2 linked regions of the Caenorhabditis elegans genome follow. The protein of the gene in region 2 purifies or fractionates together with the protein of the main gene of each other region. This does not show direct contact. Each region holds a gene or a part of one and is shown on either strand. Other genes may lie near its edges.

Region 1 (4,990 bases), on a different chromosome or scaffold from region 2:
TCTCAACTTTCTTGATTATTTTTCGCCCCAGAAAACCGCCGATTCATCATAAAAATCACACCCGAAAGCTCTTTTCCAACTAAACCAACTGCTCGTTTCACAATAATTCGAGAGAGTGATAGAGACCGGAGAGACGCACAGAAACACCAGGATTTTTGATTTTGTGACGGAAATAGATAGAATTTGGGGGTTCTTATGGTCATATTCGAAACATTTACAATACTTTGGAAAAGGATAAATCTAGACTAATCAAGGTTATAAAGTCTTCGAATATTTAAAAGTTTCATAAAACAGAAATTTCATTTTTTGAATTTTCCCAAGAATACTGGAAATTGATTGAGTTCTAACCGCAAAAAGTTGGTCAAGTGTTTTAATAAAGTCGTCTGGAAAATATTCTGCTAAATCTAACGATTTTTTCTAGTTATCATCCATTTTTAGCAAATTTTCAGATAGCTTGAAAAAATTTACAACAAGTTGATTTAGGGGAAACTTAAGAAAATTAATATTTTGAGAATTTAACAGCTTTTGGATAAATCACCAAAAATGAAAGAATAAATTGTTTGAACGATGATACCATGATGTTAATAAATGCGATTATCTCTACGATGTTTGAAAATTATATGAAACAGTAAAATAATTGCTAACATTTTCAATTTTTTACACTTTCTCATAATTGATGCTGCTTCTGTTTCTGTGTTTAACGCTACCAATGTAAAACATAATACAAAATAAAATTTCAGTGTAGGCACCACACAAAAGATAGACTACTGCCAATTTACAGGTTAGTAGTTTTGTTTTCTTTTATTATTTGAATTTTGAATTGATTTTTTTTTAATCGTAGATCTGATTCGAATAATCTGCACCCGAATCTATTCTACAATGGAGAAAATGGAAGAAAATATGGTATTTAATGCTCTCATGGAAACAGAATTTTTAACTATTTTGTTGGGAAAACTTGAAAAATTAAGAAAAAAAAATTACAGTTTCATATAACTTTCAAACTTTGTAGAGATAACTGCATCTATTTCATACGCCAATGGTTTGTACTAGTTAAAATAATTGTTGCTTTAAATTTATATTTCACTTTTGTTTCGAACGCCGGATGACGTTTAAAACTTCTAGACCATCAAAGTATGTATATTTCCGCCATAAATTAAAAAATCCTGCATAAGAAAGCCAGGCGCGGCCAGCTTGAAGGTAGGCAGGCACTCAGAATTTGCCTTCGTGAGATAGTCCTTCTAAAAATCCGTGCTATCGCGGGAATATAAATTTTGATAAGAAAATTTGAAAAAAAAATTTCAAATTTTTTACAGTTTCATCTATCTTATATATATTGTAACGATACTCGTATTTATTAGTATAATCTTTATTTTTATCGCGGCTGGACCTCACTATCAGATTATAAACTGAAATTTTATCGCAACCAGTGTCATAATACAAACTATGTGAAAACAGGTGACACCACTCCCGTTCACCCATTAACCTCTCCCAATTTTACAACATCTATCAACTGGAGAATCTATGAGCCATAAAGTAAACTAATGCGTAAGTAAAATATTCTGTTTACACATGTCAACAGTTTAATAAAGCAACAACATATATTTTCGTTCTGATTGACATTTGACATTAAGGTATACCTGTGGGGGAATGTACGGGGGGTCCATCAAAAAGAGAATACCGCTCCCCCCCCCCCCTCCAGGTACGTCGTCATCATCATTGACTCAGGAAACGTTACAACAATATCATTTGGCGGCAAAAATCATCGGACCTAGTCATCCGTGGTGTGAATGGGTGATGATTGGAGAAGAGGGGAAAGAGGTGAGCACACACACAAAAAAACAACAGAAGAAGAAGAAGAAGCAACTGGTGGTGGTGGTGAAAAGAGTTCTGGCGAGAATTGGGATTAAGTGGCGGCACGTGTGTCTTTGGAGATGGGACACCTTCTCAAAGGTTCAATGATGTATGAGTGAGTGGGAAACGGAAGAAATTGGAGAAAGGGACTAACTGAAGTAAGGTAGAGAATGCCTGCCTGTTTCTGTGCCTACTTATAGTTTTATGATGAGTCGCAAGACCTAGATACTGTCGGCTGCTAGTGAACTCATGTTTGATTTTATGAAAGAGCAAAATAAAAATGGATATTCAAAAGGCAGGTAGACGTTAGGCAAATTAAAACGCCTGCCTGCCATCAATGAAAGCGCTAGAGTATATTATGACTGCTTGATCAAATTTTTCTTGAAATGTTAATTTTTAGAAATATTGACTAAACTTTAATTTGTTAACTTTTCCGTTATATTCCCAATTTTAAGGAGAGGTGTGATTGATAACGTTTCATAGATCAGACTTTATTAAAATTGTGAAAATGTATAGAATCTCTGCAAAATTCACGTGATTTTTAAATGTTACAACCAAAGATAATTTTGAGGTAAGTTTTAAAGTAACGTTATTGTTTCAAGAAATGTTTTTATAAAAAAACACAGAAGGCAGTCTGCAAAGCGAGAGAGTCTGCCTCCTCGTCGGAGGGAATTTTTACTTTGGGAAAACAGTTCAGAATTTTTTGCAAAACTATATAAACATTTTATAAATGTTTTTTTAACAAACGCAATCACATCACAAGGAAATTTAAAATACTTATACAATTTCTGAAACAGTAATTTTTTTCAAATTTTTTAAATGTTCAAACCGTGGCCATACAGATACCAAAAGTAAAACAAATCTAGTATTTACTGACAAATCATCAAAAAAAAGTGTCATAGCTCCTTGAAACTAACACCAAACAATTCACTGACCCCTCTTAATACTTCCTAATATTTACCCCCGTTACCCCCTGCCGGGGGCACCCATTGGCATATTTTCTAAACAAAGAAAAGATAGTCCTTAACTTTTTTATAAGTAGGATAAAATAAGAGGGATTAATTCAAAAATCAGAAACTCACTTGATTTGTAGTCCAAGAAATAATCGCTGTATGCTGCATCTCCATTGGAATCTGAACTCACATCGGGCGTGTCGTCCTCCATCTGTAGAATTTCAAATTTTCAAATTAAAAGGAAAAACTGATGGAAAGAATAAAAATCAAAATGAAAAAATTGTGGAGGTCCCGTGAAGAAATAAAAAAGGTTTTTGTGAGCACGGAAGACATGTGAACAAGAGGAAGAGAGAGCGGCGATTCTTGTAATAAAAACCAGATGTTAAAGAAAGGATAAAGGTCCGAAAAATACAAATTGGACAACCAACCAGACCACAGACAGAGTTCAATGTTTTCTAGATTTGGGTTGGAAAAAATAGTGAACTTTTCTGTCTGTAAACTTAGTAATTATAGATTTTTTTCACTTTCTAAACTGATTTTTTTTCAATGATCCAAAATTATTTCTTATTTAAAAAATGGAACGAAAAACCACAGAACATCAAAACTTATTTGAAATTACATTTTGAAAAAAAACATGGTGAAACAGTCAACTTTTTAATTTAATTACAATATAGGGGTTACAATTGTTGACATACGACTATGGTCTTGAAGTTGCATTAAATAAAGTGAATCTACTGAAACAGACAAATAAATTTTATAAATTTCAACTATCTAGAAAAAAGTTTTAGATAACTTTTTCGTGATGTTTCGTGCTGATATGTAAACTCCTTGCTGCTCAAAAAACTGTAAAAATCTGTTTGCAATGTTATTACACTTCACCTACAGAGACATTTTTGTATTTTCTCATAGAAAACTTATTTGACTTTTTTACAATCATAGAACACTCAAGAATTTGTTTTCGGATTAAATACAAAGGTATCATACGAGGCAATGTCGGAGAAAAATCTGAATTTAAAAGAAGCCTTACTGAAACTGTAACAATATTTTGTGCTTCAAGAAACTAAATTCTCAAACAAATAGGAGGTTATTGGAATTTTAAACGAACTTAAAAAAAGGGAGTTGATTTTTTTTCTTCAATTTGCACACTTTGGTTTAGTTTGAATATAATCAGGATACAGAAAAAATTGATTTTGATGAAAAAAAATCATCCAGAGAAAATTTGATCCAGTAAAAACATGTTTCATAGTTTTGATGAATTTTATATAATTTCACAGTTGTATTAGAATTGGAATAATACCCGTTCAATTATTGAAGAATTTTGAATTTGATAAATATTCAGACCAACTTTTTCTTACATGGAACTCATAAGCTTTATTGTCTCAATAACAATAATGGATTCAATAAAACAAAAATACTCTTAATTCACAAAAGATCCAATTGAAACTGTAAAAAAAATGTGTGCTTCATCTTCAGTGATTGAATTCTGAAGGAATAGAAAATAGTGGAAATTAAGACAACAAAGCATGGAATCTGAAAAAATGGAAAATTTTTCTAAAAACATTTTTTAGAGATCATTATATGGGGAGTGGTAATTTGAATTCCATTGTTACGCAGATTCTAGAAAAGTCGTCTTTGAAAATACTTACTATTCACTAGAGATGTTAGCTAGAGAACAATTTTTTCTGTAAAAGCCTGTTTCATTATTTTGATAAATAAACCATGATTTTTGAAATGTTAGTGACATCTGAACATTTCTTTTTTAAAAAAATTACTGTTTCAAAGTCAAATGTTATAATTTTATTAAACTTTCAATGTTAATCGTCCTATGTGTCAAGCAGAGCAAGATTATGTGAGAAATTGTGAGAAAATATAATATTTGAGCAAGTGAATGAAAAGAGTACCGCCTAACTCAAAAACTTGAAATTAACATAATAAAGAGAAATTCTCGTGGTAAAGGCGGGAGATTCCCTGAAGGGTTACTGTAGGTTTTCATGGGTTGGAAGGAAAAACTACAAATTTGAATAATAGGTGTCTTAAAAATTATTTGAGAGGTTTGAACAAAAACATTTGACAAAATAAAAAAAAACAAGATAAGATAACAAATATTTGGACTACTGTTTTGCACTTGTTTCAAAAAAAATAATACAAGAAAGTTTTCGCTTCTATTTTGTCAAGTTTTGCAGATT
Region 2 (4,847 bases):
CCCCTCAATTTGTTCCCTATGTTTAGGAATTCAACATTTGCATTATAAAATCGTTCTAAAAATTAGGAAAACTCTTACAGACTTGGTATGACAAGTCAAAATTGACAAAATATGAGTACAATTCGGACAATTTTTGCGTATCAGTCGTAAAATTCGTAAATTTTCGATCATAAGTTGTTATTGAAATTGATCATAACTTAATGGAAAACATGAGAAAAAACCTGTTCGAAAATTAGTTTTGCATCAAATTAGGTGTCCGAAAATTAGTTTTGCATGCCTTACTAATAGAGGAAATACGGTAAAAGTTATGGCGGCTCAAAAAATGGCCGACATTTTTTTAAATTTTTTATCCAAATTTCGCCGTCCATCGACTTTATAATACCTAAATGAAGTTGAAAACGCAGGATAATTACATTGTATACTCAAAATTTGACGGTGAATTCAAAAAAGTTAATTTCCAGCCGCTTGACAAGTCGGTCAAATTTCAAAATTTAACTTATCTTAGGCCATTTTTTGAGCCGCCATAACTTTTACCGTATTTCCTCTATTAGTAAGGCATGCAAAACTAATTTTCGGACACCTAATTTGATGCAAAACTAATTTTCGAACAGGTTTTTTCTCATGTTTTCCATTAAGTTATGATCAATTTCAATAACAACTTATGATCGAAAATTTACGAATTTTACGACTGATACGCAAAAATTGTCCGAATTGTACTCATATTTTGTCAATTTTGACTTGTCATACCAAGTCTGTAAGAGTTTTCCTAATTTTTAGAACGATTTTATTATGCAAATTTTGAATTCCTAAACATAGGGAACAAATTGAGGGGGTGCAAAACTAATAGAGGAAATACGGTATTTGGAGAAGTTTTCAAGAAGTTTCATTATGAAATTCGATGTTTTCAGACAATTTTGAGTATATTAAAGAAATTTAAAAAAAAATTCAACTACACCACCTTTAAATACAAAAATACTGATTCTGTTGGGAAAATATTGTAAATTTCTTCAAAAAATTGATAATTTTCGCGTTTTTTCTGAATAAATTCCAAGCGTCAGAGTTTATTTAAAACATATTTACTACCCCTCCATTTTCACTTTTTCCTCTAAAATCTCGTTTTTTTAAAATCAAATTCCCGCCAAAATTTCCTCATTTTCAGAAAAAAAACCTCGAAAATAAGAAGAAGAAGCAACCATTCCATATGCATGCTCAATAATTGTTGTTTGCACAAAAATACTGGTGTCTTGTGTGAGTTTTTTTGGAAAATTCAGAAAATTTTCACTGAAAATTACAAAACCTGACAATTTTTGAATTTCGCGACGATTCAAGTATTTCACATGGTGTCAGAGTGTCACATTTCGGCTTGATCTACGTTGATCTACAAAAAATGCGGGAAAACGGGACGCTGACTTCTCATCTGATTTTGTATGGTTAAGACCGTCCTGACGTCACATTTTTTGGGCAAAAAATTGCCGCATTTTTTGTAGATCAAACCGTGATGGGACAGGCTGGCACCACGTGATATTTGCAAATTGTAAATTTTAATATATATTAAAATTAACAAATTTTTTGAAATTTGTTTGAAAATTCTGCTTGTACAGTCTTTTTTTGCAGTTTTCCAGTTGTGGAAATGTCAAAAAAAAATTAAATTGACAGAGATTTTTCAGTTAAAAAAATTTAAAAAAAAAAAACGAAAAAATTCACAAACAATTTTTCGACAAACCGGCAAATTGCCGAAAATGAAAATTTCCGGCAAACCGGCAATTTGCTGATTTGCCGAACGAACGAGGCAACCCCAGTAACATTTTCCTGAAATAATTTTTTTTCAGAATAAATAATGGGTTGCCTGTTTTCAAAAGAGCGGCGATCGGGAGGCAGTGATATGGGTGTTTCCGAACGGATAGATGTCTCCAGGTAACTATTTTATAGAGAAATGTATTATTTTTTTGGAGACAATCAACTTTTTTTTTAGATAAAAAGTGCAAAAATTAAATACAGATTTGAAAAAAAACCGATTTTCCGGTTTGGTTTAATTTTTGGTAAAAATTTGAAATTATTGATTTTTAGTTAAAAATTAGAAATCATTGATTTTTCGATAAAAAATCATAAATTATTGACTTTTCAATTAAAATAGGAAATTTAGCTATTCTAAATCTACATAAAGCATGATATTTTATGCATTTACATGGTGGTGAGCGGAAATCCCCCGTTTTGCCGGAACTTTTCAATTCCGAAAATTTGCCCGTTTCACATTTCGATAATTCGGCAGTGATCAACAGTTGTTAGATTTTCGGCATTTTCTCAGCAAGTAAGTGCCCGATCCCAACAAATTCCGGCAATTTGACATTACTGAGTTCCAAAGAATTTTGAAAAAAAAAACGAGATCCCTACTGTAGTAAATGTTTTTATTAGAAATTTTTTTTTCTGGAATTTTTTAATCGAGACTGAACTCTTTTACAATTTCGAGTGTATTTTTTTGGAAAAAATGTATAGAATTTAAAAATGTATCATTTTCTCTGTCCCGTCTTTTTTTATAGAAAGTTTGCTTTATTTTTAGGCTATTTTTAGGCCAATGTTGTTTTCTAAGCCTAAAAATGAAAATAGTATTAAGATGAACATGTGCATTAAAATTGAAATATTGAATGTTTAAAATTATTTAGTGCTCACTTTTTCCGAAAAAAAAAATATATAAATAGAATAATCTCAGAAGAAAAACTATGGCATCATTTTTGCCCAATTAGATGCCAACGATGTCTTTAAAAAATTATATATATATATATATATATATATCTTTTTTTTTAAAAACATTTAAAGACATCTATTTGGGCAAAAATGATGCCATAGTTTTTCTTCTGAGATTATTCTATTTATATATATTTTTTTTCGGAAAAAGTGAGCACTAAATAATTTTAAACATTCAATATTTCAATTTTAATGCACATGAGAATGTTCATATATGTACTTCCTTTTCTATAAAAAAAATTTGATTGTTTGCCCACCTAAAAATGCACTAACAACGCGTCAATTCGCGTATTATATTTTTTTTAAAGGTGGAGTAGCGCCAGTGGGGAAATTGCTTTTAAACATGCCTATGATACCACAATGACCGAATATCATGGTTAAAAAATTCAAAAAAAAATTTCTAAATTTTATATGATTTTTTGAAAATTGAAAAAATCTCAGTTTTGCCTAATTTTTTGTTTTGCCTAGATTTGTTCGGTGGAGCGCGCTTGCACGCTTTTATTTTTATTTATTGTTATTTTTTTATATTTTCCACCGATTTTCAATGTTTTCAGTGTATTTTTGTCTGAAATTTGAAGAAAAAGTCAAAATAAATGCAAATGTTCGATTAAAAAGCATTTAAACGACGATTTCGAAACCTGAATTAATTAATTTCAAAGATTTACGCTTGTGAAGTAGCTTTTTAATCAAAAATTAGCATTTATTTCGACTTTTTCTTCAAATTTCAGACAAAAATACACTGAAAACATGGAAAATCGGTGGAAAATATAAAAAAAAAAACAATGAATAAAAATAAAAAATGTGCAAGCGCGGCGCTCCACCGAACAAATCCAATTGGGGGTAATTCAAAATTCAAATAGGAATTATTAGGCAAAAATCTTTTTTTTACCATTTTTTAATTTTCAAAAAATCATATAAAATTTTTTTGAATTTTTTTATCATGGTATTCGGACATTGTGACCCCATCACTGCAACTTTTTCCTCACGAGAGACAAGGAAAAGTGGTTTCTAGGCCATGGCCGAGGGGCCGACAAGTTTCAGCGGCCATTTATCTTGCTTTGTTTTCCGCCTATTTTCTTTCGTTTTTCATCGATTTTTTTCGTTTTTTCTTAATAAAACTGATAAATAAATATTTTTTGCAGATGCTAAAACAATTTCCAAGTAAAAAAATCATGTATTCAGTGGGCAAGCAGCGGTGAAAGTAGTCGATGTAATATGATGGATTACGGGAATACAAAACCTAAACTTTTTCTGAAACATGATACATATGATGCTTAGATGCTTAAATTACCTGATTTTCATAACGAGACCGCTGAAAAAGTTTTGAGGTTTTCAAAATTCAATTGTTTTTGGTGAAAAAGTAGAGATTTTCGCACAAAATGTTGAATTTTAAAAATCTCTAAACTTTTTCAGCGGTCTCGTTATGAAAATCAGGTAGTCTCAGCATTTAAGCAGCATATGTATCATGTTTCAGAAAACGTTTAGGTTTTGTATTCCCGTAATCCATCATATTACATCGACCACTTTCACCGCTGCTTGCCCACTGAATACATGATTTTTTTTACTTGGAAATTGTTTTAGCATCTGCAAAAAATATTTATTTATCAGTTTTATTAAGAAAAAACGAAAAAAATCGATGAAAAACGAAAGAAAACAGGCGGAAAACAAAGCAAGATAAATGGCCGCTGAAACTTGTCGGCCCCTCGGCCATGGCCTAGAAACCACTTTTCCTCGTCCCTCGTGAGGAAAAAGTTGCAGTGGCTACTCCACCTTTAATTATTTTTCCATTTTTTTTCCGTACACTTCCCCCATTACCCAAAAAGATATCCACGCAGATTCCAAACGCCCCAACAACAGACAGTATTCCACGTGAATAACGGTGGAAACGAGGGAACCATCTCTCAACTAAACGGAACATCAGACGGAATGATGGGAAATGGACGTGGTGGTGGTGGTGGAGGAGGAGCACAGGAACGTGAGACTCTGGTCGCCCTCTATCCATACGATTCACGTGCCGACGGGGATCTTAGCTTTCAAAAAGGCGATGCTATGTACCTATTGGATCATTCGAATTGTGATTGGTGGTATGTTCGACACCAACGAAC

The links. The genes of interacting proteins can lie anywhere in the genome.
Region 1: the proteins of src-1 (region 2) and unc-5 purify together in Caenorhabditis elegans (affinity purification with western blotting, with the first as the bait; one study listed by BioGRID). This does not show direct contact.

Annotation. Positions count from the first base shown.
Region 1 is NC_003282.8:5,525,324-5,530,313, forward strand, and holds the start of unc-5 (Netrin receptor unc-5), read right to left. Parts: upstream 3,016-4,990; coding exon 2,934-3,015; intron 2,603-2,933; exon of another isoform or gene 2,582-2,602; intron 2,318-2,581; exon of another isoform or gene 2,297-2,317; intron 1,380-2,296; exon of another isoform or gene 1,359-1,379; intron 1,047-1,358; exon of another isoform or gene 1,026-1,046; intron 585-1,025; exon of another isoform or gene 564-584; intron 1-563. UniProt on the Caenorhabditis elegans protein: Receptor for netrin (unc-6) required for axon guidance. Mediates axon repulsion of neuronal growth cones in the developing nervous system upon ligand binding.
Region 2 is NC_003279.8:1,565,772-1,570,618, forward strand, and holds the start of src-1 (Tyrosine protein-kinase src-1), read left to right. Parts: upstream 1-1,837; coding exon 1,838-1,914; intron 1,915-4,565; coding exon 4,566-4,847. UniProt on the Caenorhabditis elegans protein: Non-receptor tyrosine-protein kinase which plays a role in endoderm development by controlling spindle orientation in EMS blastomere, probably downstream of receptor mes-1.